Macaca fascicularis: one gene and its partners. The protein of the gene in region 2 interacts with the protein of the main gene of each other region in a biochemical or structural test. Links are inferred from orthologs where the notes say so. Each region holds a gene or a part of one and is shown on either strand. Other genes may lie near its edges. The genes, in order: PKN2, RHOA, SMURF1 and CIT.

The links.
Region 1: the proteins of RHOA (region 2) and PKN2 form a complex in vitro, tested with the Homo sapiens proteins (2 studies listed by BioGRID, with this or other methods). The link is inferred for Macaca fascicularis from reciprocal best matches to the Homo sapiens genes RHOA and PKN2.
Region 3: the proteins of RHOA (region 2) and SMURF1 form a complex in vitro, tested with the Homo sapiens proteins (2 studies listed by BioGRID and IntAct, with this or other methods). The link is inferred for Macaca fascicularis from reciprocal best matches to the Homo sapiens genes RHOA and SMURF1.
Region 4: the proteins of RHOA (region 2) and CIT form a complex in vitro, tested with the Homo sapiens proteins (2 studies listed by BioGRID, with this or other methods). The link is inferred for Macaca fascicularis from reciprocal best matches to the Homo sapiens genes RHOA and CIT.

What each region holds. Positions count from the first base shown.
Region 1 is NC_088375.1:146,010,335-146,018,159, forward strand, and holds the start of PKN2 (serine/threonine-protein kinase N2), read right to left. Parts: upstream 4,617-7,825; 5' UTR 4,283-4,616; coding exon 4,235-4,282; intron 1-4,234. UniProt on the Homo sapiens protein: PKC-related serine/threonine-protein kinase and Rho/Rac effector protein that participates in specific signal transduction responses in the cell.
Region 2 is NC_088376.1:112,409,359-112,417,023, forward strand, and holds the start of RHOA (transforming protein RhoA), read right to left. Parts: upstream 4,831-7,665; 5' UTR 4,634-4,830; intron 4,297-4,633; exon of another isoform or gene 4,125-4,296; intron 1-4,124. Other genes in the region: TCTA (T-cell leukemia translocation-altered gene protein), read left to right, coding at 5,241-5,463, 5,879-5,933. UniProt on the Homo sapiens protein: Small GTPase which cycles between an active GTP-bound and an inactive GDP-bound state.
Region 3 is NC_088377.1:47,600,445-47,607,665, forward strand, and holds the end of SMURF1 (E3 ubiquitin-protein ligase SMURF1), read right to left. Parts: intron 6,621-7,221; coding exon 6,536-6,620; intron 4,178-6,535; coding exon 4,078-4,177; 3' UTR 930-4,077; downstream 1-929. UniProt on the Homo sapiens protein: E3 ubiquitin-protein ligase that acts as a negative regulator of BMP signaling pathway. Mediates ubiquitination and degradation of SMAD1 and SMAD5, 2 receptor-regulated SMADs specific for the BMP pathway.
Region 4 is NC_088385.1:126,864,385-126,871,605, forward strand, and holds part of CIT (citron Rho-interacting kinase), read right to left. Parts: intron 4,338-7,221; coding exon 4,196-4,337; intron 1-4,195. UniProt on the Homo sapiens protein: Plays a role in cytokinesis. Required for KIF14 localization to the central spindle and midbody. Putative RHO/RAC effector that binds to the GTP-bound forms of RHO and RAC1. It probably binds p21 with a tighter specificity in vivo.

The DNA of each region.
Region 1 (7,825 bases), on a different chromosome or scaffold from region 2:
ATCAATGTATTGTGCTCCTACTAAGTGTCAAACACAGAGCTAGGTTACATATGAGTATAAAATTTTAAAGCAAAGCACAGACAGTCTACAGAGTAATGTCAAATCTTTTGGGAAGTTTTGGGCAAGCATGTGACACCTTTCATGAGAAACAGTAATTCTTAATGAAGAAATCCTGTAAAAAGATTATTTGTACTATGATTCTTTGTGAAATATTAGAGCGTATTTACAATAATAAAACACTGCTACATTATAGACTACCAAGTTGAATGTAGAAATCATTTTTCCTTGTTACAGATGGAGCTAACAAGTTAAGTTAATGTTGGTAAATTACATTTTTGGCCAATCTGTAGAAAGTTCACACCACTATAACATTAGATGCAAAATATTTATAGTTCCCCAGAACTGTGGCAATTTAAAGAATGGTACAGCAGGGCCGGGCACAGGGGCTCACACCTGTAATCCCAGCGCTCTGGGAGGCCGAGGCAGGCAGATCATGAGGTCAGGAGTTCAAGACCAGCCTGGCCAACACAGTGAAACCCCGTCTCTACTAAAAATACAAAAAATTAGCCAGGCGTGGTGGCAGGTGCCTGTAATCCCAGCTACTCGGGAGGCTGAGGCAGGAGAATCGCTTGAACCTAGGAGGCGGAGATTGCAGTGAGCAGAGATCGCACCACTGCACTCTAGCCTGGGTGACAGTGCGAGACTCCATCTCAAAAAAAAAAAAAAAGAAATAGTGTAATGGGAAACATATAGACCTGGGTTCAAACTCAGACACACAATGTAACCATAAGCAATTTACTTAATATTCTTGAACTTAAGTTTCCTGATCCACAACATGAAAATAACACCTACCTTATTGGATCGCTGTAAAGATCAAATGAGGTGTATAGGATACTAAGTACAATGTCTGATATGTAGCAAATAATTTTTAAAATGTTGTTTGTACTCTCTTATAATTATCCTCTAGTACAATTATCTATACTCTCTTCTGGAAAGCAAAAACCTATCTTGTCATCTTTATATCCTCCAACATAGCTTTGGTAGATACTACATAACTGTTTGGTGAAATTAACCCCCGTAATTTAAGGGTAACTATCTCAACTTTCCACTTGAGCAAGTTACCTCTATCTAAATAAAATCTGCTGAGAATGGAATTTAAAATTCCCAGACCAACACTTTATTGGGCATTTTGATGAAGAAAATGAATCTCCAATAATCAACAAGATAGCTTTATTAGCACACTGCTCAATATTTGGTCTGCATTCTACAAAATTACCATTGTAGCCAACACTTTCATTTTGAGATTCTTTACAGTTTTCATTAATCCAGGTTCCTTGAAAATAAACTTTAGCTTCTTTGGCATTGCAAAAATGTCTAAGTTTTCTGCTATACTTCAAATAAAAAATAAAGAGAATACAACACAACAAATTAGTTATGAGATAAAAATTAGAAATTGGCCATTTTAAACAGCCAATTTTTATTTTTATTACGGTAAATATTCTTCCTTATACCTTGAAACCTCTAGCCACCAAAGTTTACATAGTTTATTAACGCTTCCTTGTTGAATAAGCCTCCTGAATTACTACCAATACTTAAAAACATTACTCCATGCTATTACAGTAATTAACAGGACAGAATACTGTCGTTTCAGATTTTCTTACTTTGCCTTTCCACGACCAAAAGCTAATTCCAGCTCAAGCAGTGGAGTATTTCAAATTCTACAATTTGAAAAAATAATGAAAAGCTGGATATATTTCTAAATAAATATCAATTTCATTAAAGGTAGGTTGTAATATGTAACTTTCAGAGTAAAACAAGTATTCCTGAGACAGGATACATAGCAAAGTAACAGTTTTAACCATTAAATACATCTTAAAACTGGCTACAGAATTTCTTAAATACTTAAAATCTGTATGGCAGAAAAGAATTAAGAATGTCATATTAAACAGTATTTCAGTCTAAGTTCAAACAATTTAGAAGCTTTTAAAAAAACTGATTCTTGAAACGAAAGTTTAATAAATACTTGGTTACTGTACACTAAGTTTCAGGACCCAATGAAATAAAATGTTTGAACGGATGGAAATATTTGGTGAAGCAAACTTTATGACTATCTTTAGTGTTGATGTAAGTAATATTCTCAAAAATTTTAATAAACACGATAAAGTTTAAATGCAATAACTTTTATCAAAACTGGGAGTCAAATAAACCAAGAAAATGACTTGGATATATGACAACCTATAAGGTAACACTTAATAAAAACTATTCTTTTTTCTGGAAGGGGTTATATTTCAGTTTATCTAGAAGCTTAACTTTAGGTGTTCCTCTATTTTGGTCATATTTCTAAGTCATCATATTGAAAATTTCTTCCTTCTTTGCTTGCTTCCTTGTTATTACCAAAATTGATCTTTTTAATTAAAAGATCCTAAATGTTGTATTTTAATACACATGAAAATATAATTTTCAGTTCCAGTGCCAAAGTAGGTGTCTTTTATGCCAATTTTCTATAAAATACAAGTAACAATGCCAAATATATTATAACTCGAACACTGCTCAATTCAAAAGAAAACTGACCCTATCATCCTTCTCAATCAAAACCAAAGTATGTTTTTCATGGTTCAAGACCAGGTAATGTAAAGTATTTCTCACTTGCCTCACATCATCTCCATTTTAAAAGCTGATGCAAATTATTTACTATTAATAAAATAGTAAATTACATTCATTTAGCAAATGTGGTATGCTGTACGATCTGCTTATAAAAGGCTAACTGTAATTAAAATATTACATAGCAACATTTTCAATGATATGAAATTCAGCTTTGCATTACCAAAGGATTCTAAATGTGCAACACTGCATTGGTATACATTGTTACAATCTCTATTTTTGTGGAGGAATATCAACTATTATACCAACGTTTTCAACCTTACGTCTGACTGCACAAGAAACCAAACTTATAAAGAGATTTCTTAAAAAGTGTATTTAAACAAGAAATTTAGATGCAGTTGCAATACTTAATTTTGACATCAAGAATCAACTGTTTCAGAATTTCTAGATTTAGTCTTTCTTTAAAAAAATTAACTGTCCAACACACAAAAAGACATGCAAGCATGCTATTTTTTTCCCTAATTCCCATCTACAATCTTCGAGTAGCTAAAAGATAACTATATTAAAATAAAGCAAAATAACTTTTAAGTCAAAAAAACATGAAATTTTAACATCTTTGTTAAAATTCAGATGTAAACACTTCTGGAACACTGCCAAGTAATGAAAAACCCGACAGGGTAGCTTAAGTCCCCATGTACACCATAGAGATCTAAAAACGAAAATCGTGCCTACATCATCAAATATTTAGCTGGAAATGGGAAAATAATAATACTGCTACTCGACATGGACTTAACTAAGCGATCTATTTTGCTCTTATCTTTTGCAGACATGTGGTGCCCAAGTTTTCCCTTTCTCATTAGTAAACAACTTATATAGCTCTTTCTCTGGTGCTCAAATGAGAGGGAAAATGAAAGTCTGAAAAGCATCAGCATCTGAGCTTCCGGATCTGGGCAGGGGTAGCCGAGAAAGGCACCGTGTATCTATCACTTAGTTTAAAAAAAAAAAAAAAAAAAAGGAAAAGAAAAAGATAACTCTCAAAATAGAGGAAAGAAATTCTGCCACCTGAAGAGGGCTGGCGAAGTGAAGCAAGCATTTGGTGAGACTCGTTTTTTTAAAAAAAACTTGTCTAGGGGCTGGAAGTTATGGGGGCGCTCTTTGTGCGGAGTCTGAGGGGAGGGGGAGGGACAAGAAAACAGCTTGGGAGTCATTCAAAAGAGTTTAAGGAGCCGAGTACGGAGGAAAGGCGGGGCGGGGCCCAGCCGCGCGAAGGGAGGGGGCGACAGGGGCGTTCGCGGGCAGCTCTGACACCGCGGGAGGGGGCGACGGGCCGGCCTCTCCAGGGACCGGGCGAGAGCAGGCTCCAGCTGCAGCAGGGCTGCAGAGATGGGGTTCCCTCTGGTAGGCAGAATCAAAGCAAAGCGGTGGCAGGCCAGGGCTTTGGCGGGGGAGAGGGTCTGGCTCCCGAGGGAAGCGGTTCCCCGAGGGAAGCAGTTCCCGAGTGACATCCCGGACTTTCCGCACTTAGCGGGCTAGGGGCGCGGCGGCCGCAGGGCTTTCCTTGGTCCCCGACGCCGCGCGGGGCTCTTTCCCTGTCTACTCAGCCAGCGACTCTCGCCAGGGCCGCGGCCCTTACCTGCAGTTCCGTGAGCATAATCTCCCCCCGTTCGGGGTTGGACGCCATTGCGCTCCGGTATGGACTCCGCACCTGGAGGCGGCCGCCGCTGGCAAAGGGAGAAGGCGGGACGGGGCTCAGGGTGGGGGGTGAGGAACGGGGAGAGAAGAAAAAAAAAAAACACAAAAACTAGGGATTCATGGAGGCGCAGCCCCTGCTGGAGGCGCGGCTTATTCCGTCCGGTTCATCGAGAGCGGCGGGGGTGCGAGGGCACTCGTAGCGGGCTTCCTCTCGCCGCCCGCCCGCCGCCGCCGCCGCCCGCACCGGACTGTTCGCCTAGTCGCTCCCTCTGGGCGACGCCAGGAGCCGCCTCAAGTCTCTCCGTGCGGGGCGCTGCGGCCGCGGCTGTAGCTCCTCCTGTCGCACCATTTGGCTGTCACCGCGTCGCAAAAGCGGCCTCACTTGGCGGCTGCCAGCACACGTGACGGCGGCAGTCACTGCCTCTCATCGGGCTGGGAAGGTGGGGCAGAGGGGTTCCCCAGGGCTAGCAAGGCGAGAGGGCGGGGCGGCTTCCGACCCGACTCCGCGCGAGGGCAGCCATTGGACTCGGCTGGGGTGAAAATGAGGGGAAAGGACTGGGCTGGAGTCTCTGGGGAGGCGGGAAGAGGAAGAAAACACACGCCTACTTTCCTGCTGCGTTAACGGCCTCACTGTGAACACTAGAACTCGGGAGCCTGCTCGCTGTTGTTTTTTTAGGTTTTTTATTTTTTTTCTTTTTCTTTTTTTCCCCCCAGTTCTACCTTGCCGAAGCTTGGGCCTAACTTTAACAGGCACTTTTGTAACCTCCACAACCCAAAAAGCTTCGGAACTCAGATCTTACAGATTACTCCTCTGTTCTTCCCTTGCCCGGCCATCCCCATCAACCCAAACTAATAATCTTGCCTTTTGCTCACCCTCTTCCCCAGCCCACAGCGCGCCTTCTGGACCAGTTAAGGTGCGCAGCTTGCTAAACGGGTCTGGTCTGTACTTTTCATGAAATGTAAGCGGCTGGATCCCTGGCAACTTTTAATGCACAGCCTTTAAGATGCCTTTTTCTTGAAGCTGAACTACTGTTTCTTGTGCTGGAGAACTCTAGAGCTGAGAATTAGCTGGTTTTTTGGATTGTTTTAACTTTATTTAAAGAGGGAGGAGGTGGGACGGGATTACCCTCGGGAAAGGAAAAAAGCCAACTCTCCTTGTCGTGGTAAGCATTAAAGCTAACCTGACTACTTAGTAACATATAGCTAAGTAGAGTAAATCTAGGTGTTTGTTTTTAATGACACTGTAGTATTAAGGAATTTAGAAGTCTCCCACAGGTAGCTTTTGTTTTTGTTTTGTCTGAGCAGTGAATGGATAGGTAAACACGTAACTTTCAATTTTTTGAAGCTGCGGTGCAATTCCTTTGTTAAAAACTACCTGGAGAAAGTGGTAAGGGTTATTTAGGTAGGTTGCTACTTAGGAAGGACATTCGTTGACATAATTCTTAGGAAGCGTAATATTACGTACTTGTCACACGCTCCGTGTAAATCTGTTGGGCTGATGCTAGGACTTACGTTTATCCTTTTGCCTTCTCAAGTCTCATATATCAATTCAGCAAACATCTATTGAAGATCTGGAGTTCTGTGGCCACAGTTTCTGAATTCTAACTCATATGTGTGTGATAAAGAATTTTTCTGGTGTGTACTTCACAAGTCTTACAACTATTTATATATCTAATATATTGCCTTGGTTGAAAGTGATAATTAAATTTACGTGAAAGAACACTTGGAAAGGCCAGGATGTGATTACCTTTCCTGGTAACTAGAAGCCAGATGGTGTCCTAGGCTTTGGAGTTACAGCAAGGATTAAGAGTTCTTATCCGGCCAGGTGCGGTGGTTCACGCCTATAATCCCAGGACTTTGGGAGGCCAAGGCAGGCGGATAATCTGAGGTCGGGAGTTCGAGACCAGCCTGGCCAACATGGTGAAACTCTGTCTCAACTAAAAATACAAAAACTAGCTGGGCATGGTGGCGTGCGCCTTGTAATCCCAGCTACTCCGGAGGCTGAGGCAGGAGAATTGCTTGAATCTAGGAGGCAGAGGTTGGAGTGAGACTCTGCCTCAAAAAAAAAAAAAAAGAGGTCCTTATCCTTGGAGTGACTGGAGAATTCTTTGGGGAAGCCAACTTACATCTAAACAACAATAATTTTAAGTAATAGATACAAAGTGTTAGGGGAGTACTGCATGCTTGTGTGTGTGTGTGTGTGTGTGTGTGTGTGTGTGTGTGCATGTTTTATTGTGGTAAAATGCATAATCAAATTTATTGTAACCATTTTAAGTGTACAATTCAGGGGCATTGAATGCACACAGATTTATTTATTTATTTTTGAGACGGAGTCTCGCTATGCCACGAGGCTGGAGTGCAGTGGTGCCATCTCAGCTCACTGCAACCTCCGCCTCCCAGGTTCAAGTGATTCTCCTGCCCCAGCCTCCTGAGTAGCTGGGACCACAGGCACGTGCCACCACGCCTGGCTAATTTTTGTATTTTTAGTAGAGACGGGGTTTCACCATGTTGGTCAGGATGGTATCGATCTCTTGACCTCGTGATCTGCCCGCTTCGGCCTCCCAAAGTGCTGGGATTACAGGCATGAGCCACCGTGCCCGGCCTACAGATTTATTTTTGTCACAGCTTACTGCAGAATGGATTTGAGATGGCTGTCATACACATAGAAGGTGATTAATAATGGTGGAACTAAGTTAACTGTGCAAGGGCTTAGAAATACAGTCAATGAGCGGTCTTTGTAAAAATTAATTTAGATATAAATGTTCACATTTCAGCATCATGTAATTTTAGAACTAGAAGTGACTTGAAATACTTAGCTTAACTCCTATTATAGGTAGGAAAAAAATAACAAATAGTTTCCTTAGCTATTTAGGAACAAGACAACAGTATTACTTAGTGGCAGAGGTGGGGACTATTACCTAAGTCTCCTAATTGCCATTCATGCTTATTTTAACCTTCACCATGCCACTATAATAACTTTAAATTGATATTAAACTGAAAGCATTAGACTCTCTTAAATTTTTACCATAGAAAAAGACTTTAAATTTTACAAACTTCTAATGTTAAAACAATGTTAATAATTAAAAAAATTTTTTTTGAGACAGTCTTGCTCTTTTGCCCAGGCTTGACTGCAGTGGCATGATCATAGCTCACCACAACCTCAAATTCCTGGGCACAAGGGATCCTCCTGACTCATCCTCCCAAATAGCTGGGACTATAGGTACACACCACTGTTGATAAGGAATAATAATTTTACATTTCACCTATAAATTTAAGCAACAAATATACAAAGTTTTAAAAGTTATGGAATTATTTCTGAGATTAGCCGTGCTAGGGAAAGTAGTACAAAATGGAGGCCAACAATATTAAAACTACTTGATAATCTGAAATATGTGATGATTTAGACAGCAAATTAGTTTCATTTAAGCTGAAATTTACTACCCAGGTAACATTCTCTGTTGAGGGGGAAAAAATGTAATAGGACATGGATCATACTTACCAGACTGCAGCACACTTGAAAAAGTTTTAATAG
Region 2 (7,665 bases):
TTTTTTTTTAAATATCAGATCATGTCATCCCCTTTCTAAAGAATATCTAAATGACTTCTAATCTCAGAACAAATCCAAAGAATTTCCCATGTCCTAAAGGCCCTATATGATCTGGCCCCTGCCCACCTCTCTAACCTCTTTTTACCTCCAACTTTTCCTTTCACTCCACTTCGAACTTACTTCATTGGCTGTGTATGTTTTCCTCTTTCCCTTCACTTAAATTTAAGATACTATCATAAATATGCTTAAATGTGGCCAAGCGTAGTAGTGGCTCTCACCTGTAATCTCAACAATTTCAGAGGGGGGCAGATCACCTGAGGTCAAGAGTTCCAGGCCGGGCGCGGTGGCTCACGCCTGTAATCCCAGCACTTTGGGAGGCCGAGGCAGGAGGATCACGAGGTCAGATCAAGACCATCCTGGTCAACACGGTGAAACCCCGTCTCTACTAAAAATACAAAAAATTAGCCAGGCGTGGTGGGGGACGCCTGTAGTCCCAGCTACTCAGGAGGCTGAGGCAGGAGAATGGCGTGAACTTGGGAGGCGGAGCTTGCAGTGAGCTGAGATCCGGCCACTGCACTCCAGCCTGGGTGACAGAGGGAGACTCCATCTCAGAAAAAAAAAAAAAAGAGGTCGAGACCAGCCTGGCCAACATGGTGAAACCCCGTCTCTACTAAAAATACAAAAATTAGCCAAGTATAGAGGTGCATGCCGATAATCCCAACTACTCCAGAGACTGAGGCGTGAGAATCACTTCAACTGGGAAGCAGGGGTTGCAGTGAGCCAAGATCACGCTACTGCACTCCAGCCTGGGCAATACAGTGAGACTCCATCTCGAAAGAGAAAAAAAAAAAAAAAAATAGGCCGGGCGCGGTGGCTCAAGCCTTGTAATCCCAGCACTTTGGGAGGCCGAGGCAGGTGGATCACGAGGTCAGGAGATCGAGACTATCCTGGCTAACATGGTGAAACCCCGTCTCTACTAAAAATACAAAAAACTAGCCGGGCGTGGTGGCGGGCGCCTGTAGTCTCAGCTACTTGGGAGGCTGAGGCCGGAGAATGGCGTGAACCCTGGAGGCGGAGCTTGCAGTGAGCCGAGATCACGCCACTGCACTCCAGCCTGGGAGACACAGCGAGACTCCGTCTCAAAAAAAAAAAAAAAAAAAAAAATATATATATATATATATATATGTACACACACACACACACTTATATATTTACTCATCCTCTTAAAAAATGAAATCAAGCTCAGTTTGGCATAAACTGCATACTGATTGCAATTCAGCAAGTGTATTTGATGTTTTTCAGTATTATTAGCTATAAAAATGTATTTGGCGGAAGTACCAATAAACTGAGACCAACACCCAGAATGAGCAGCTTCAGTGCCTGATTTTCAGTCACATGACTACCGTAATTATGAACATACCGAGGCCTTCACTTAATACTATAGCTCCACAGATTAAAGATGAAGGATTTTATAGTAATTACCAACTTCAAAATGTCTTGGAAATTTTAATCCCACAAATACTTAACAATGACATGTCCCCAAAGAGCCCCAAGTATAGCAAGACATGTAACATTAACAAGTTCAAAATTTAGTTATATTAATGTGTAGTTACAAGCAAACAGTTACATTGGACAGGTAAATAAAGGAATAAACGAATGACTTCCTTCAAGACAAAAAGAACCAAACAAGTCAACAGAGGTAAAAATTTAAAATCAAAACTATTAAAAAACACAAGTGGAACCAACTTTGAGGTAAAAAAGATTCCAGTTTTCCACCGTAAACTACTAAACAAGGTTTGTGAACAAATCAACTTGGATGCAAATAGCGCTATTCAATGAAGACGATCTGTAACTGTAGATCCAATGGTAGAGTCGGACAAAATACTTAGGATCCTTTTAAAACTACAAATATGGGTGGGCGTGTGGGCTCACGCCTGTAATCCCAGCACTTTGGGAGGCCGAGGTGGGTGATCACCTGAGGTCAGGAGTTCAAGACCAGCCTGGCCAACATGGTGAAACCCCGTCTCTACTAAAAATACAAAAATTAACAAGGAACGGTGGCTGGTGCCCGTAGTCCCAGCTACTCCAGGGGCTAGGGCAGGAGAATCACTTGAACCCAGGAGGCAGACGATGCAGTGAGCTGAGATCGCGCCACTGCACTCCAGCCTAGGCAACAGAGTGAGACTCCATTTCAAAAATAAAAATAAAAGTATATGGCCAATTTTAAAATCCAGTGACTATGTACTATTCATCATAATCACTAGTAACCATAATGCAATTAAACCCAAGGTGCTGTCTACAGCAGGCTCAAATTAGCTCTCTTAGAAGCTGAACTATCAGTCTTTCAGAGTTAACATAAATCTCTCAGCGCTCTAATTAAGAAGACGCAAACTAGCACCTTCTCCCGTCACTGCAGGGCTCCACCCCATGGACAAGAAACACTTGAAGAGCTACCTCTTTTTAACTCTCCTAATAACTTACACCCCCATATGACCAGAATAAACTTTTAAAAAGGAGTTAACTGACAAATGGAAAGAAATCAAGACTACAAAAATACTCCACCACCACCACCACATACATGTGCACAGGGAATTGTTTACTTGACACATGCAGTACCCCAAATTAATAGTCAAAAGTGCCCACAGTTACCTAAAAATATGTTAGCCTGACCTAAATATCTTGGTTTTGAAGCAGTAAAAGTGTAGGCCTTGCTCTAGAAGTTGGACCCTTTAAAAAAAAAAAAAAATCCGAACACTTAAAGCCATGATTAGGTCAGCCAGGGACCCTTGTACATTCATCTAGCTCCCTCAATTGAAGGCAGGACCATCCAGTTAACAAGGGGAGAGTGCTATGTAAGCTAATGAACTGAATTTTTTTTGGCAAATGAATTTTTCAGATTCTCCCAAACTATTCACCATCAACAAGGTTTAAAAGAAGAAACAATGGAATAAGCTGGAAGTCCTGAATTTTAGCTGACTCTAGAGGTCAAATGTTTGGGAGTAAATGGAGAATACCTTAACAGAGCAGACAGTTCTGGTCTGCTCCTGACTAGATAGATAATCCTGGGAAATTTACTTAAGTCTCTGGGACTCAGTTTGCTCATCTGCAAATGGGGTTAGACAACCACACCTGAAAGATTCCTCTTAGATCTAAAATTCAAGAACTATACATTATTCCTACTCTCTTCTTCCCTGCAACGCAGATTTTTACAACAGAGAAAATAAATCTAGCATTAGACTTTAACTCAAACCAAGGTGCACCTTATATATTTAATGTCCCCAAGAGCCATCAGTGCTCCACAAAATTAGATGGAACCAATTAAGACAAGTTATCCAGAGATCCTTCAATAAGTCATCCTTTACAATTAAAAACTAGTCTTTTTTCAGTCCAATGTCACTTGTGCCAAACGCTCAAAACAGTATCTCCGCCTATTTAGCCACATCTCAAGGTGACAATCATCCACATGGTACATACACACTACACATCTGGGTGATACTAAGTGGTTGAAAAATTCTCATCACACACATTTTAAATTATGGAAGTTTTTCAGTTTTTCTGTTTTTCTCCTTCAGGAAGGCAGAGTGAAATATAATCTACTTACAAACCTGCAAGAAGCGTTTATTTTAAAAGACTTCCTTCAAGACAAAAAGAACCAAACAAGTCAACAGAGGTAAAAATTTAAAATCAAAACTATTAAAAAACACAAGTGGAACCAACTTTGAGGTAAAAAAGATTCCAGTTTTCCACCGTAAACTACTAAACAAGGTTTGTGAACAAATCAACTTGGATGCAAATAGCGCTATTCAATGAAGACGATCTGTAACTGTAGATCCAATCAGTAACTAAGGTACAGATGCTTAGGTGATTCCTAATCAATACAGCGACTTAGACTAACCAATATTGCATCTGTTTTCATGCAACATCGCTAAATCATTTACAGTTTTGTGGTTTTGTTTTTTTTTTCAACTGGAAAATACCCCTTTTCCACTCAATACAGACCCCAAAGCTTTCATACGAGTTAGGGCGCGTTCGGGGTGGTATGGCCGTAGATCATACCTCTAAGCTTCCAATACAATCTTTTACTTACACAGTCTCCAACAAATCTGCATTAAAAGAAAACCTACCCAAAGTGTAACTGGGCTTTAATCAATATAAAACAGTGATTCACGTTTCTCGGTAAACGTAAAAAGCAAAATGGAGTTGTAAAGAGTTTCTTTCCCATTTCAACTCCGACAGCCACGCGCGCTTTCAGCAGCCGGCCACACTGCGCGGTCGGGGGCCCGGCCCAAAGCCCCCGCCCTGCCCGGCGCTGCCGGGAGAGGAAGCGCCGAGGACCGAGGGCAGGCAGGCGGGCAGCTTGGGCTCCACCAGGCCCGGCCGGGCGGGGGAAGGGGCACTGGAGACTACGGGGCGCGCTTCCGGGGACTGCGCGGGCGGGGTCGCCGATTTGGGGCGCGGGGCCTGAGCCGGGAGTCAGGTCAAAGGTCAGGGGCGGCTCGGCCAGGGGCGGCTCGGCCACGAGCAGCCGGTGGGGCGCGGCCGCTGCGGGGCGGCGGCCTGCCGGCCGGAAGACTGCCGGGCGGGCGGGAGGGCCTGGGGCCCCGCGGCGCCTGGAGGGAACCCTTCCGCTCACCTCAGGCAACGAATCCGAGTCCAGCCTCTTCGCGCCGGGGACGCCGGTCCGCGAGTCGCAAGCTCGGAGACGAAGACGGGTAGCTGAAGACCAGACCGCGGACTAACGAGAGAACCGACGGAGGACCGCGGGCGGCGGGAGGGGAGCGCGAGAGAGCGAGGGCGGGCGGCGGCGGGAGGGCGAAGAACGACGTGCGCGCCCCCGAGTGCCCAGCGGGCTCGAGCCGACCTAGGTCGCGGCCCCGCGCACGCGCGCGCACTCACAGCTCATCCACTATTGCTCAGGAGCGCGGCCACGCCCTAAAAGCAAAACCCTTAACCAATCATTGCAGCCGCGTGGGGCATCACGGGAACTCCGGGGCTATAAAAGACCTGGTTGCTATTTTGTACTCCCGGAGTCACTCATCCCTTAAGCAAGCAGGGTGGGGCTAGGTGCGCGTGCGCGGTTTTAATACTCCTCCCCAAACTGCCAACACTTCACTCAAGCGAAGTAGGCCCCGCCCTGCCTAGATTTACGCGTGCGCACTAACGGGCCTGGCACCGGAAGATCACACGCGTGCGTGGTAGGGACTACGGTGACAGTACCCCGGGTGGGGCGAGGGCCAGTCATGGCGGAGCCCTGGTCTGGGCAGGCCTTGCAGGCTCTACCGGCCACGGTACTGGATGCGCTGGGCGCGCTGGGCAGCGAATTCTTGAGGGAGTGGGAGGCGCAGGACATGCGCGTGACCCTTTTCAAGCTGTTGCTGCTGTGGTTGGTGTTAAGTCTCCTGGGCATCCAGCTGGCCTGGGGGTTCTACGGGAATACAGTGACCGGGTTGTATCACCGTCCAGGTGAGGCTTCCTACGAACTTCCGTGGGCTGGCCGCCCCCGCCCCCACCCTCTCCCGACTGTATCACTGGGTTCCCCAACTATCCTGCAAGAGGCTCATCAGAACTTAACATTGGTTCACGGCCTTACCACCCTGAACGCATCTGACCACGAAGCTAAGCCGGGTACTTGGATGAGAGAACTTAACGTTGTACCCTGACTCATGCCACCATACCATTTTACGCCAGAATCTCCACCAGTCCACCCATCACATTGTATCTGTTCCTCAGAACTCTCACCTGGCAATACGATTAGTCCCTTAGGACCCTTACTAGACTTCACCAAACAATACCAGTGGTCTCTAACCTGACCTGGGCTGATGCCTGCTCAGATCCCCACCCCAGCCTGCTGCAGCTCTGGATGTGTTTTTGCCTCCAGGTCTGGGTGGTCAGAATGGATCCACGCCTGATGGCTCCACGCATTTCCCTTCGTGGTGAGTAAATCTGTCCATACCGCAACCCCATGCTTGGCATTCCAAGGACACTCCTGTGCTGGTGACAGAGAAGGGAGTTCTCAGGCTATAAGCCCACCAGCTTAATAGCCTTTGCAGCAAGCTTCAAGTCTGCACGTAGAGTTCAGGCTTTGAGTTAGGATGACATCAAGGTCTGGACAGTCCATCAGCATGTTGTTCAGCAGCCTGTAGGACAGGTGGTGGTATTGTCATAATTTCAGAGAGATGAAATGACATGTTTGTTGGATTCCACTCCGCACAATCCCCTCAGTTGGAAAGGCAGTAATCTCTGTCCTTAGCACATTGACCTCATCAGGGTCAGCCTCCTCTTCTGCAAAACATGCACTCACTAATCAGGGCATTCATTCAGATAATCTCTGGGCCCCTATCACATGATAGGGACCACACGAGGCCCAGAGAACAAAGAAAACCCGGGCCCTGCTCATGGGGAGCCAGGGATTTATTAGGGGTGCATGGGGCAGGGGTGGTCAGGGAAGGCATCTCCCAAGAAAGACACCTAAGCCGAGATCAAAGGCCACAGGGTGACAAAATGTACCTGGCAAAGGGAATGGATAGAGCAAGGCTAAGAGGGAAGGATAAGGGTGACATATTAGAATAGGTAAGACTGTGATGCTGGAGCTTGAACATGAGAGTTGGACCCTGGGAGCCATTGAAAGACTAACTCAGCAAGACTGTGATCTGATCTAATTTGCCTTTATAAATGCCTACTTCATGGCAAGTAGATAAAGGGGTCCAAGAGTTAGGGCTAGAGGTTAGAAAGGCTGCCACTGCCCAGATTTCTGTCTTGGAGAAGAGGCCAGGCCCCCTGGCTCATGCCTGTAATCCCAGCACTTTGGGAGGCCGAGATGGGCGGATCACTTGAGGTCAGGAGTTTGAGACCAGCCTGGTCAACATAGCAAACCCCATATTTACTAAAAATAGAAAAAAGTAGCTGGCATGGTGGTGTACACCTGTAATCCCAGCTACTCGGGAGGCTGAGGCATGAGAGTCACTTGAACCCAGGAGGCAGAGGTTGCAGTGAGCCCAGATCACGCCACTGCACTCCAGCCTGGGCATCAGAGTGAGACTCTATCTCAAAAAAAATAATAGGCCGGGCATGGTGGCTCACGCCTGTTCCTAGAACTTTGGGAGACAGAGGAGGGTAGATCGCCTGAAGCCAGGAGTTTGAGACCAGCCTGGCCAACATGGCGAAACCCCATCTCTACTAAAAATACAAAAATTAGCTGGGTGTGGTGACGTGCGCCTGTAATCCCAGCTACTTGGGAGGCTGAGGCAGGAGAATTACTTGAACCCAGGAGGTGGAGGCTGCAGTGAGCTGAGATCTTACCATTGCACCCCAGCCTGGGCAACAAGAATGAAACCCCTTCTCGGCCGGGCGCGGTGGCTCAAGCCTGTAATCCCAGCACTTTGGAAGGCCGAGACGGGCGGATCACGACGTCAGGAGTTCGAGACCATCCTGGCTAACACGGTGAAACCCCGTCTCTACTAAAAAATACAAAAAACTAGCCGGGCGAGGTGGTGGGCGCCTGTAGTCCCAGCTGCTCGGGAGGCTGAGGCAGGAGAATGGCGTAAAAACCCGGGAGGCGGAGCTTGCAATGAGCTGAGATCCGGCCACTGCACTCCAGCCTGGGCGACACAGCAAGACTCCGTCTCAAAAAAAAAAAAAAAAAAAAAGAGTGAAACCCCTTCTCAA
Region 3 (7,221 bases), on a different chromosome or scaffold from region 2:
ATCAGAAACAAGAAAAATATTCCCACTTTTACCACAGTTTTTCAACATTGTACTGGAAAAGTATAAGCCAGAGCTAATAGATAAGAAATAAAAGGCATCCAAGTTGGAAGGAACAGGTAAAGCTATCTCCTACAGAGAGAAAATTGCAAAGAATTCACAAGAAAGCCACTAGAGCTAGGAAGCGAATTTTTGCAGTTTTGGGGTACGAGATTGACAAACAATGCAGTTATGTTTCTATATACTAGCAATGAATATCCACAAAAGAACTTAAGAAAGCAATTATGTTTATAATAGCATAAGAATAAAGCTAACCAAGCAGGTGCAAGACTTACCAGTTGTCTGCTGAAAACAAAATACTGTATAAAGAAGTTAAAGAGGCTGGGCACGGTGGCTCATGCCTGTAATCCCAGCACTCTGGGAGTCCGAGGCGGGCGGATCACCTGAGGTCGGGAGTTTGAGACCAGCCTGACCAACATGGAAAAACCCCACCTCTACTAAAAATACAAAATAAGCCGGGCGTCGTGCGCGCCTGTAATCCCAGCTACTCGGGAGGCTGAGGCAGGAGAATCACTTGAACCCGGGAGGCAGAGGTTGCAGTGAGCCGAGATTGCACCACTGTACTCTAGCCTGGGTGACAAGAGCAAGCCTCCATCTCAAAAAAATAAAAATAAAGAAAAATGAAGGGAAAAACGAAAAGATAACCAGTGCGCAAAGAAATTCTAAATGTTCTCAGTCCCATGTTTTTGCTTGGTAGAGCACTTTCAACCCACTGCCATATTGTCATTAGTTTCCCTTACAATTCTATCCTTAACTCTGTCCTTTTCCCTTGGAAGGCCCTTGCCAGTATTCCTGCCTACACACTTCCTTTCTTGTGGGTTTGCAAAGACACTGGAATCTCATTTCCACACCAAAATAACAGACGCCAAAAATGTAAAGTCGTGAGTTTATTGCATATGTAACAAAATGAACCTGACCTCCTGGGCCCAGCCTGCTGTACAATCACTGTTTGTTTTGTGTTTCCAGCTGGTTCCATAACCACATTAAATAGAACTAGTATTTCATTAAATACTTTTGATTTTGACATAAAACAGAACATTAGTGTACAACTTTCACAAAATAAATCAGCGATAAAAACCGTGGGAAGGATAACAAGGATAGCAGCAATACTTAAAAACAAGACATTACAAAATAAATTAAAAAATACATTATAAAGTGGTTGAGAAACAAAAATAAACACATTTTTAAAATCCATACTATGTTTCGGGAAGGCTGCCGTGCGGCACACACCTGGCTGCAGATGGCGGGTAGGGGGACATTTTCTCTGCAGAAGGCCTTTCCTGACATCTCGGACTGGGTGACCACCTTAATCTGAATTCGGACCATATGTCTGAACAAGCTCAGGGGTCGAAATTCGATCTGGTGGCAGATTCTCTTTTCAGAACTGGAGAGAGCCCTTTTCCTGTCGCCCCGGGCCTCCCAGGCAGCCTCAGCTCTTCCTACCAAAAGCACTGGCAGAGTGGTGTTTGCTACATCCCTGAGTGTCGGCTGACGGCCGCTGGTGAGGGCAAGCCTGAAAAGCCGGGCCCCTGAAGCATCTGGGCAGAGGGGCAGGGGGCATGGCTGGATCGCCTGGGACCACCGAGAGGGGCGACACAGATCACACGTGAATGGGCTTCGTGCGGACCCAAAGTCCAACAGTCGGGAAGCTTTTACCATTTGCTTGCCATATTGAGTTCTTTGGGGTGGTTCAAAAGGACCAAACAAACCATCGTAGAAACTGAAGGTTCTGGGAGTGCGATGCCACCGATAGGGAGGCCTGTTTGGAAAGAGTGAACCGGAGCTCTGGAAAGGTCTGCGACACTCACACGACCGATGACAAGGCGGCAAACCCACACGCAGGTGGAAGTGGAAAAGCAGAGACGGGGGCCGGGACAGGAATGCCATGTGTCCGCCGGGGCCACCTGTGGAGGACCCGGGACCCAGCCCTCTGGCTCTGGGCTGAAGCAACACCCGGCACGAGAGGCAGGGCAGCACCGACCAGCATGGGGCTGGCGGGTGCAGCTGCTAAGGCTCGCCCCCGACTCCTCCCAACAGCAAAAAGGTAGTTTTAAAGGCGTCAAATGCAACATTCCTGCTTCAAAGTCTTTTAAACCATGAGACCCTGGTTTCCTTCCTAGTTACTGCAGATTTTGGATACCACCACCAGGACAATCAGGTGGGGCCTCCGACCTCATCCCGGAGGCCGCTTCAGTTCTCGGATGGATGTCTCTTCTGCCTCCCATGGGTTAGGCTCGTGACAGAGAGTGGGCTCTCCGGGGGAGGGCTGTAGTTTTCACTTCCTCACCTTCAAGAGGAAGATGCAAGGAAAGGCTGGATAGAGCCACTGGGAAACGGGCTTCTAGAACACCTTCAGGAAGCATCATGGTGAATGAGACACAGGATGCACCCACCTGGGGGGGCAAGGCAGAGCTTTTCAAAGAGGCTAAGCCCACCATTGGGCCTGGACTTCTGGAATGGGGGATTAAACTTTCCTCCTGCAGCAAACCTCGTTTGGCAGCCCTTCCATTCTAGAACCTCAGCAGCCCAGAAGTCAACAGTGACAAAAAGAACAGATAAAACCGTTGTCCACAAGGTCCTTCCCAGGCCATCTCAGACCCACAGCGGGATCCCAGAGACTTCGACAGCAGTGAAATGTCTTGCTCATCGATTACCCTGTACTTGCCCCCACCCCAAACAAAAACAACAAAGAAACCATACAGGAACATTGGTTGCTGCTGCTGTTTTCTGCCCAAGTTCAGCTACTGGAAATCAAGCCACTTTAAGATAAAACACTGTTTGACTTCTGTGCAAACTGGAAAATGGTGTCAGAAACTTCGAGTCTAGGCTTGCTTCTGGCCTTGCTGATCATACGAAGACATCTGGGCAAGTGAACCGAGTAGCAATCGTTAGTGTCACCAGCTGCCACTGGGAAAGGGGCCACACGAGGCAGTGTGGAGCTGTCCCCCTCTGCGGTCACAGGTTTGCGTCCACACTCTACTTTTTGTAGAACAGTATCTTTGGGTGGATTTACATCATCGAGGTTATCCTTTCACCATTGCTTTTAAGCTAGTTCGCACCAAGCCAGCAGCTATGATAACACAATTTTGTTAGTTTAGCTCTTAGCAGTTGCCGCATCATGGTTTACTAATATTTTAAGTGACACAGTTGATGCTCTTCTATGGACAACAGTGGCACAGAGGTCACAGCTTTGGGACTGACTGGTTGGCTCTAGGGCTGATTTTGGTCTGCTCTTTTCTACACTCCGTGACATGGTGTTTTCACTGAAAAGAAAAGTCAAACTGGACAGATAATGCAGCAAAAGGGGCCCTTAAAAGATGGTTTTTCTCTACGTAAAATATTCTCAGCCAAGACACCCAGCAAAGAAATATCCTGGCTCCAGGAAAAGCTGCTCCAATTCCTTCTCCTTTCAAAGGGGCAACGCATTTTGACTCAAGCTTCCTGCTGTGGCAGAATTCCAATAAGCATACGTTATGCAGTTATTTTTCAGTTGGAAATTCATCTGCTGCCCAGAACAGGCTGCTGGGATGTGAAATCTGGAATCTGAGCTCTGGTAAGATATCTAGCAGCTGCTCAAATTGAAAAGGGGCCCCAAGGCTATTTGAGATGGAACAGCGGGGATAGCCAGCAGTTCCAAACCCTCAGCCAGCCACACTCAGTCCCCTAACTGTGGGCTGATGCTCCCGTAAAGAGCTCAGGGCCATGAGCCTTATCACCACATGGGTTGCAACCACAGCAGAATATCCTGTGTGACCAAAGCCAAAGGCTAACCCTGGCTGCATTTTATTGGATGGGTGATGGAAGCGGGTGGGAGTACTATAATAAAGGAGAGATATATGGGTGGGAGCCACCAACAAAAGTCCCCCATCCCCCTCCCCCAACAGAAAGGAGAGAGACAACCCTTTCCCCTCAGGTGATCCGGAATTCCAGGGCCTCTGCCAGCTTTGCAGGAGGCGCACAGAAGCTGGATGCTTTTGGTCTGGTGGCCATGAGCTAGACTCTGTTGCCTTTGGTTGCTTTTCACTCCACAGCAAACCCGCAGGTCTCCTCCACGGCTGTCAGCAGCTTCTCGTAGAGCTTCTCATAGGACTCATATGGTGGAATGTCGATCCGGTTAAAGCTGAAAAAGGACAAAAAAGTGAGAGTCACTGGGTGGGCAGTCCAGCCCTGGGACCAACCTCAAGGCCAAGGACAGGCAGCGAGAAGTGTGTGTGGGAGGGGAGAGGAATGCGGGGCGGGGCAGGAGTGGTGGTGAGTTCTCCATGTCCCCCTGTGCTTTTCTGCCTCTAATACAAAGATTTGTAATTTGTTTTTGCTTTTTGGTAGAGACAGGGTCTTGCTAGTTTCCCCAGGCTGCTCTCAAACTCCTGGCCTCAGGTGAACCTCTTGCCTTGGCCTCCCAACATGCTGGGACTACAGGCCTAAGCCACTGTGCCCAATCAACACACAGTGAAGTAAGTCTTGAGCCTTGACAACCAAAACATCACCAAATTACTGTTCACGGCTTCTATCAGGACAAAGCTCTCCGCTTGTTTTTGTCTGTCTGTCTGTGGGAGAAATTCTTTCTCTGTGCTAGGAATGCCTCTTTGGCAGCCCGTGTAACCCAGACTGGCTGTCAGGCAACGTCACCACTAACGATGTATTGCGTGTCTGTCTGTTCCTCTGGGACTTGATCTGAGACCAAAACGGGGCAGTCTGGAAAATTCCTTGCAAAAACAAAATCTCAAAACTAGTAAGATGACAAATCCTTAAAAGATGAAATGAATACTCAACTTTTGACTCGGTATTTCCAGGGGGAAACTCGTTTCCAGTATTTGTGCAAAGAAAAAGACATCCTTTAAGAAGCTACCATAGCAAACCAAAAAGTACAAAATTGTGACCCAGAGGACATACAGTGACTTCCTGGCTTCCTAGGGTAAGCAGTTACGGAAGGTGTCTGTCTCTACAGAGCTGGGTTCCAGGGTGGGCCCTCTTTTTTCTGTGCTTCAGAGCATACTTTCCACATGCATCTAACACCAAGCACTGAACTGCTAAAGGACAAAAGCCTTGTGAGTAGGTGCGCAGCCAACATGGTGCGTTCCCGTAACGGATGCCACAGCCACGCTCGGAGCAGGACCCTGGCACCCACCACCACGGTCCAGGACCAACTGCATTACCCCATTTCACAAGTGCGGAAAACCAAGTTAGAATATGAAGTCACTTGCCCCAAACCACATGTCAGAGGGTGTCACAGCTAGCATTTGATCCCGCATCCTTGGTTTCCAAGACAGGAACCTTCCATCATCTCACTGGGCATCTCAACAGCATCTAGAACTGGTTCCCCCAAGGAAACGCGGCTACTCGTCTCAACGGATGGTTCCAGGACAAAGTGCGTGCCAGTGACTGGATTTTTAAACCATACAGGAAATACTCTAGTATGGAGACTCATTTTTAAGTTAAAATTTAGGAAGAAAATATTTGCAATAGACAAGGTGCGTGTGTCATAAGCAGGAGTCTAAGAAGATGGGGACCCAGAAATGTCAGATAAAGTGAAGACCAAAACTAGACTATTTTCCTTACCAACAGGTGTGTGTACATAAGACCTGGCAGAGAGGAAGATTTGAGCCTGCTGGAGTGGTAGCCACACTCCACTGAAACACCAATGTTAATTAATGACATGGCTCATAACAAAATTAGTTTCATAAGATACTGTGACAACCTTTCTGTGGCATGCTGCAAAGTACTCGTCCCATCTGACACAAGCACTACTGCCAGTCATTGAGACTTGGCATAAATGAAACAGAGTCCTACAAATCAGAAAACAGCTTTAAAAAAATAACATGAGGCCGGGCTTGGCGGCTCATGCCTGTAATCTCAGCACTTTGGGAGGCCGAGGCGGGCAGATCACCTGAGGCCAGGAGTTCCAGACTAGCCTGGCCAACATGGCGAAACCCCGTCTCTACTAAAAATACAAAAATTAGCCGGGCGTGTTGGCGAATGCCTGTAATCCCAGCTACTCGGGAGGCCAAGGCACGAGAATAGCTTGAACCCAGGAGGCAGAGGTTGCAGTGAATCAAGATTGTGCCACTGCACTCCAGCCTGGGTGACAAAGCAAGACTGTCTCAAAAAAATAAAAAACTAAATCAAGAGAAAAATCTATATTTAAATTTTAGGTTATATATACTGTAAGATTTTATGTTAAGTTTAGCAATAATGTTGGCCCTCTTATAGATATTTTGTTGCATGGCCAGTAAAGCCACTCTATACAGCGTTGTCATGTTGGAGGAAGAGTCGCTTGCTTGAGGGCTTCAGAATTGTCATTCAACTCTCGAATTTCTCCTTGTGTCTCAGGTGCTGTGGCTTTTGAGTTTTGATGATGACAGAAATATTTTAGCAGAGACTCCATCTCCAAAAAAAAGAAAAAACAACAAAACGAACGTGAACGTCGGCATCCTCCGGGGCTCCCAGGACGCCGTGACTTCCTGGCCGCAGTGCTTACCAGGTATGGGCCTTCGGAAGGTTGTCTGTGTTCGCGTCTATCAGGTGGATAGTGAACAGCCGGGGCCCTGCCGCGCCTGTAGAACCTTACAAGACAACATTCTAGTTAATGTACTTCAGAGGCACAGCTGTGGCACTTCCTGGCCACACGGCCCCCAGGAACCAGGGCCCTGACCACGTTCCCACCCCTACACCCAGGCAGGCTGTCCTGTGATAGGGCCATGAGGTTCCCAGGCCCGGTTTTAGGACATGCCTGCAATGGCCATCAAAGTGACAACATTCAGACATTTTTTTGAGACAGGGTTTCTGTTGCTCAGGCTGGAGTGCTGTGGGGCAGTCTCAGTTCACTGCAACATCTGACTGCCGGGTTCAAGCAATTCTTCTACCTCAGCCTCCCAAGTAGCTGGGATTACAGGTACACACCACCACACCTGGCTAATTGTTATATTTTTAGTAGAGACGGGGTTTTGCCGTGTTTCCCAGGCGGGTCTGGAACTCCTGGATCGCCTCAAGTGATCCACCCGCCTCGGCCTCCCAATGTGCTGGGATTACAGGTGTGAGCCACTACACTTGGCCAAAATTCCAACATTTTAGAATATCTTGCAGGGGGCAGAGCAAGAACTGCTAAGGCCCCTCCTAAAGTGCACCCTGACCATGAGCCTGCTCCAGACAGGCTCCCTGAGGGTC
Region 4 (7,221 bases), on a different chromosome or scaffold from region 2:
AAAGACAAAAATCCCTTCCCTTCCCTCCCTTGGCCCAAGGCTAGGGGTACTTCTGCTGGAGACATCCTTCAGAGCTACTCTCTGTTCTATTTTCTCTAACAGTCCCCAAAGAAAATCTCCATCCCTATAGGAAGATTCAAAAAACCTGGGCAGAAGCAGCTGAGGGACCCTTCTCCACATGGAAAAACAAAGCTTACATTCCAAAACAGACACTCAAAAAGGGGAGGAAAAAAAACGTAATGTAATCACCCATTTTCAATCATGGCCTCTTAACCACTCCCCAGGAAACCTCTTCAAACATATGAAACATTTCCCTGGAAGAGAGTTCTATTAGAAAAACATCTACATTCCACTAAACCAAGTCTTCTGATCACTATATGGTTCTAGATAATTCACTGCTGTTAAGTAACCAGAGGACAGCCTCAAGACTAATGAAGGTGCCTGCAGATGGCTCAGTAAGCTAGCCTCGTCACATAATTTCCTTCCCCTCCCACTCCCTACTTATAAATTTAAATATTCAAAAAAGAAGGCGGGAGCTTATTCAAACAAAAACAGAATGATGAACAAATATCTCAAGTACATTTTGAAGATATACAATATATTAAATGTTGTTGAGGTTCAGAGTTATGATTACTGGGTACCATTTATTGTCTCCTATGGGACAGGCAACATGACAAGTCTGGTCTGTGCATTAACTCACTCAATCCCAACACAGCCTCACTAGATATACATTATTCCCACCGGGTGCGGTGGTTCATGCCCGTAATTCTAGCACTTTCGGAGGCTAAAGCAGGTGGATCACTTGAAGTCAGGAGTTTGAGACCAGCCTGGCCAACATGGCAAAACCCCATCTCTACTAAAAATAAAAAAACTAGCTGAGTGTGGTGGTGCACCCCTGTAGTCCCAGCTACTCAGGAGGCTGAGGCAGGAGAACCACTTGAACCCGGGATGTGGAGATTGCAGTGAGCTGAGATTGTGCCACTGTACTCCAGCCTGGGCAACAGAGCAAGACTCCAAAAAAAGGATATACATTATTCTTGTTTTGCAGATGAGAAAACTGAGAACAAAGTACATGTAAAATACCGAAGGGCACTATAGTGAACATATGCTGATTCTTTTCTACTCAGCATCCCCGGCTCCTTTGCATAACCACGCATCCCCCATCCCATGAGGTGCTGGTAATCACACTGCCCTGACCCCTTTGGGCACTCCAACAAAACCGATCACAATACTTCACCTCCAGGGAGGCAAATGACCCAAAGCAGAGCCAAGTTAGAATCTTCCCTGGGATTGTATTAACCTAGATAAGGGAAGATAACCATTGGGCAGGGTGTGGTAGCCAGTCTCCAAAAATAGCACCCAATACCCCAGTCCTCTTGGGATTCATGCCCTTGTGTAGTTTCCTCTCAGGTGGAATTTGAGCAGCCCCAGAGCATGCATCAAACAATAGAATGCAGCCAAAGAGATCCTATGTTCCTCCTAGGATAACCCCTAAGAAAGCCTGGCAGCTTCCACTTTTGTGTTTTGGAAACCCTGAGCTACCATCGAGGCTGTCCTACTAGAAAGACCATGTAGCTCAGAGGTCAGCAAGCCTTTTCGAAATGAGCCAAACAGGAATTATTTTGGGCTTTGTAGGCCATTTGATCTCTATCACAACTACTCAAATGCTGTTGTGGGCTGGGCACAGTGGCTCATGCCTGTAATCCAAGCATTTTGGGAGGCCAAGGTGGGAGGATTTCTTGAGGCCAGGAGTTCAAGACCAGCCTAGGCAATCTCGCAAGATCCCATCGCTGCATAAAATTTAAAAATTAGCCGTTAACGGTGGCATGGGCCTGTAGTTCTAGCTACTGAGGAGGCTGAGACAGGAGGATTGCCTGAGCCCAGGAGTTGGAGGCTGCAGTGAGCTATGACTGTGCTGCTGCACTCCAGCCAGAGTGAGACTTTGTCTCCAAAACAATAAATAAAATGAAATAAAATGCTGTTATAATGTGAAAGCAGCCATAGGCACTGTACAAACACATGGGTGTGGCTGTTCCAGTAAAACTTTGTTTACAAAATAGGCATCACAGGCTGTAGTTCCTTGACTTCTGATGTAGAGACCACATAGAGGTGCCATGTAGACAGCAAAAGGCCCTGAGACTTCATGAAGAGAGACAGGCCCAGCTGGGCCCAGTCTCCCAGCCAGGGCACCAAACAGTGAGTAAGCCCTCTCACACATTCCAGCCCAGGAGAGTCCCAGGTGACGGCAATCCTGGCCAATGTAATACAGAGCAGAGGAATTCCCAGCTGAGTCCAATCAACCTACACACACGAGAGGTAATACAATAACTTATTTTTTTAAGACAGAGTCTCACTCATTGCCCAGGCTGGAGTGCGATGGTGAGATCTTGGCTCACTGCAACCTCCACCTCCCAGATTCAAATGATTCTCCTGCCTCAGCCTCCCAAGTAGCTGGGATTACAGGCGCCCACCACCACGCTCAGTTAATTCTTGTATTTTTAGTAGAGATAAGGTTTCACCATGTTGGCTAGGCTGGTCTTAAACTCCTGACCTCACGTGATCCATCGCCTCAGTCTCCCAAAGTGCTGGGACTACAGGCATGAGCCACCGTGCCCAGCCACAATGACTATTGTTTTAAGTCACTAATATTTAGGGTGGTTGATTGCACAGCAGTGTTGTACAAGGTGGGGTTTCTCAAATTCAGCACTACTGGCATTGTGGGCTACATACTTCTGTGTTACAGGGGCTGCTTTGTGCACTGTAAGGTGTTTGGCAGCATCTCTGGCCTCACCCATTAACTGACAGTAGGACCCTCCCCTCAACCTCACACACCACCATCCCCAGCCAGCTCTGACAACCGAAAACATCTAGGGGGCAAAGTCACCCACTGGTTGAAAAACACTAATGTGAGAGTATGAAACTGGGACACCACCAGTCAACTGCCCCATCACATGGAAGTCAAGCAAAGTCAGAAACAGGGTGAAGGCAAGGCCGATATATGACTTCATAGGCCCTAGGTACTTTTGCCTTCCTCAGCCCCTTCCTCCATTAAAAACAAAAAAGAATTCGAAAATTATGTTTCATGGGGCCAGTCATGGTGGCTCAACGCCTGTAATCCCAAAGCTTTGGGAGGCTGAGGCAGGAAGACTGCTTAAAGCCTGGAGTTTGAGACCAGCCTGGGTAACATAGTAAGACCCTATCTCTACAGAAAAAAGCAAAAATTAGCTGGGCATGGTAGTGTGAGCCTGTAGTCCCAGCCACCGAGGTAGAAGGATTGCTTGAGCCTAGAAGGTTGAAACTGCAATAAGCTGTGATATACCACTGCACTCCAGTCTGGGTAATAGAGCAAGACCTTGTCTCCAAAAAAAACAAAAATTTTATTCTATGACTACATTGGTATAAAGATGAATGTAATCCAGAATCATTATACATTATTACATTCATTTTTCCTGTAATTTTAAAACAAATTAAAATTTAATTCAGTTAATTAAAACTAATTAAATTCATTAAAATTAAATATCACAGGTCCTAAGCACCATGCCTACATTGCCTAATAGAAAGTCAGTCCTGAGTGAGTATAAGCATGAGGTCACAGGGTATTATTGAGGTTTCTGGAACCAGCTATGCCTAAAGTTAAAACTTAACTCATTCCTGGATTTCTGTTTCATAAGCCAATAAATTCACTCTTTTATTCACACAGGGTCTCACTCTGTCACCCAGACTAGAGTGCAATGGCACAATCATGGTTCATTGAGCCTTGACCTCTCGGGCTCCAGTGATCCTCCCACCTCAGCCTCCTGAGCAGCTGGGATCACAGGTGCAAGCCACCATACCCAGTTAATTTTTGTATTTTTTGTAGAGACAGGGTTTCACCATGTCGCCCAAGCTGGTCTTGAACTCCCGGGCTCAAGCGATTAGCCCACCTCAGCTTCCCAAAGGGCTGAGATTATAGGTATGAGCCACTGCACCTGTCCTAAATTCAGTCTTTGAATTGAGTTTGTCACTTGCAACCAAGTAGCCCAACTTACCTGGTCTCCCAGCTATAAGAGGTGCAGCCTGAACTTGAACCTGGATCTGTCTTATATAGAACCAGAGTTCTTACCCACTACTATCAACCAGTAACTCATTCTGCCTCAAGCATCTTTCTACTTTTCTCTCTCAGGACGGTTTTCAAGAAAAAGTTCCCCAAACTTACACTTCCGGACAAAGTTGCTCACATGCTTAATCTTCATCAGAGCAGGCTGACTGCATTCTTCAAAGAGAACAAAGAGGGCATCTAATATCCCTTCTCGGGAAAGAGGAGACATCTGCTGTTGAGTCATAAAGGGTGGTTTCCCCTAAAAACAGCAAACAGCAGATGGAGACACTGTCAATAATGAAAAGCTTTGATCAATAACATCCACACAGAGTAAATTACAAGCCACCAACTCAACTAACTGCTCACGACATGCTAACAGCACAATTCTGTGGCTTCATTCTTTAAAGCAGCGTCAACCGACAGTCATTATGGTATCACTTCCATGATTCCAGGACTGTGGGTTTCTTTCACCAGCACCTGGGAGGGAAAACTGCACAAGCATGGCCATTAACAAGAAAAGGTCCCTCACTCCTGAGGGTCTGAGGCTAGTGAGAATACTTCCTCTGGATCCTCTGGCTCTGACATGCTTCCATGTTTCTACAATAGGAAACATGGGTTTTTCACTTCTTTCACGTGTGCCCAGGGGTTTATTCATATAATTTCAGCTTTTTTAATTCATTTGAACAACCTAGAGTAATGAGAACTGAGTGACTATCATAAAGCCAAATTTACTCATGATCTGGAGAAATAGTTACAAACTGGCAGACTGTCTCTAGCCCACAGATATGTTTTGTTTGGCCTGTAGTGTTTAAGATAATTTGAATTATCTGCCAATATTTCAAAATCAGGAGATTCCATACAAAAAAATAAAAATGGAGTCTCTGGCTTCTCTTGAAACACTGGCAGATCCGGCAACACTGCCTCGTCTTCCTGCCTCGCCTTCCTGCCTGATGACGCTGAGCTGGAGCTGAGTAATGCTGCCCCTCCCGGTAGCAGATGTGTTCCGGAGTTCACTGCAGGTCTGACTCCATCTTCCAACTGGCCCACCTAACTCATTTATACTCACTGCCCGGCCCCCAAAGACATGAGTCTGCGACCCTGGTGTAGAGCAGTGAGTCCCACGTGCCAAGCCATGAATAGTGTGGTCTCGCTGCAAAGATGGCCTCCAACAGTTCCTCCAATTCAGTAGACACATGCTATTCCTTCCTTTAAGCGCTGGAGTCTATTTCTCCTATCTTTGAATCTGTGCCATCTCTGAGACTCTCTTCAACCAAAAGAATGTGACACAAGAGATACTGTGCCAGTTCAGGGCAGTGCCTTTAAGAAGCTTGTCAAGCGGCCAGGCATGGTGGCTCATGTCTGTCATCCCAGCACTTTGGGAGGCCAAGGCAGGTGGATCACTTGAGGTCAGGAGTTTGAGACTACCCTGGCTAACATGGTGAAACCCTGTCTCTACTAAAATACAAAAATTAGCCGGTCATGGTGGTGGGTGCCTGTAATCCCAACCACTTGGGAGGCTGAGGCATGAGAATTGCTTGAACCCTGGAGTCGGAGGTTGCAGTGAGCCAAGATCACACCACTGCACTCCAGCCTGGGCAACAAAGAAAGACTCCCTCTCAAAAAAAAAGCAGCTTACCAGTTTCCACTTTTGGGAAGCCAGCCACCATGCAAAGATGCTTGGGCTAGACCAGGGGTGTACAATCTATAGCCCTTGGACCAAATCCAGCCCACGGACTTTTTATAAGTTTTACCGTAACACAGCCACATCCATCATTTACATATTGTTTTTAACTGCTTTTGTGCTACCATGGCCAAGTTGAGTGGTTGCAACAGAGACTACAGGACCCACAAAGCCTAAAATCTTTATTACTTAAAAAAAAAGTTACAAGTCAGCCAGGAGCGGTGGCTCACGCCTGTAATCCCAGCATTTTGGGAGGCCAAGGCAGGCGGCTCACGAGGTCAGAAGTTGGAGACCCACATGACCAATGTGGTGAAACCCCATCTCTACTAAAAATGCAAAAATTGGCCGGGCGTGGAGGTGAGCGCCTGTAATCCCAGCTACTCAGGAGGCTGGAGCAGGAGAATCGCTTGAACCCAAGAGGCAGAGGTTGCAGTGAGCAGAGATCATGCCACTGCACTCCAGCCTGGGCAACGGGTCGAGACTCTGTCTTAAAAAAAAAAAAAAAGTTACAAGTCCTGGGCTACACTACTGAAAGACCTCATGGAGAAGAGAGGCCACGTAAGAAACACTAAGGTGCCCCAGCCAGCAGTCAGCACCCACATGTTCCAGTCCCAGACATAATCCCAGCTGAATGTAGCCCCACAAGTAACCCCAGCTGACATCACAGGATGAAGCAGAACCACCTAGCTGAGTCCAGCCAATCCACAGAATCCTAAGAAAAATAAATCATTGTTGCTTTAAAGGTCGTAAGTGCTTTGTTACACAGCTTGATAACAGAAACGGATTGCTGCATTTGAATCACAAGAGCACTGGAGAATTTAAGGAAAAAAAACAAACACACACATTATCTGGTCCTATGCCTCCCCTCCCCCACAACCTATTGAATTAGAATTTTCCAGACTGTAGCCTGGGATCTGTTTTATTAACAAGTTCCCCAGCAGGGCGAGGTGGCTCCCACCTGGAATCCTAGCACTTTGGGAGGCCAAGGTGGGAGGATCACTTGAGCCCAGGAGTTCAAGACCAGCCGGGGCAATACAGTGAGACCCCATCTCTGCAAACAAACAAAAAAAATTAGCCAGGTGTAGTGGCATGATCCTGTAGTCCTAGCCACTCGTGAGACTGAGGTAGGAGGATCACTGGAGCCCAAGAAGTCAAGGCTGTAGTGAGCCAAGATTGTGCTGCCACACTCCAGCCTGGGCAACGGAATGAGACCCTGGTCCCCAAGAGAGTCAGACCTCAGTCAGGTTTGGGAAGCACTGCATTCAAGGCCACCATATCTGTCACTTTAGTAATAGTTGCCACTAACTCAGGAAAATAAAACGCTTTGTTTCTTGTATTCTTCAAGAGTTTAGACCAACTAAAGCAGGGGTTCCCAAATGCAGTACTGGGTCTTAACAAATTTTTCAACAGCCTGCAGTGAAATGAGAAAAAATGAATGCCACATGATATCTTTTTTCATAAA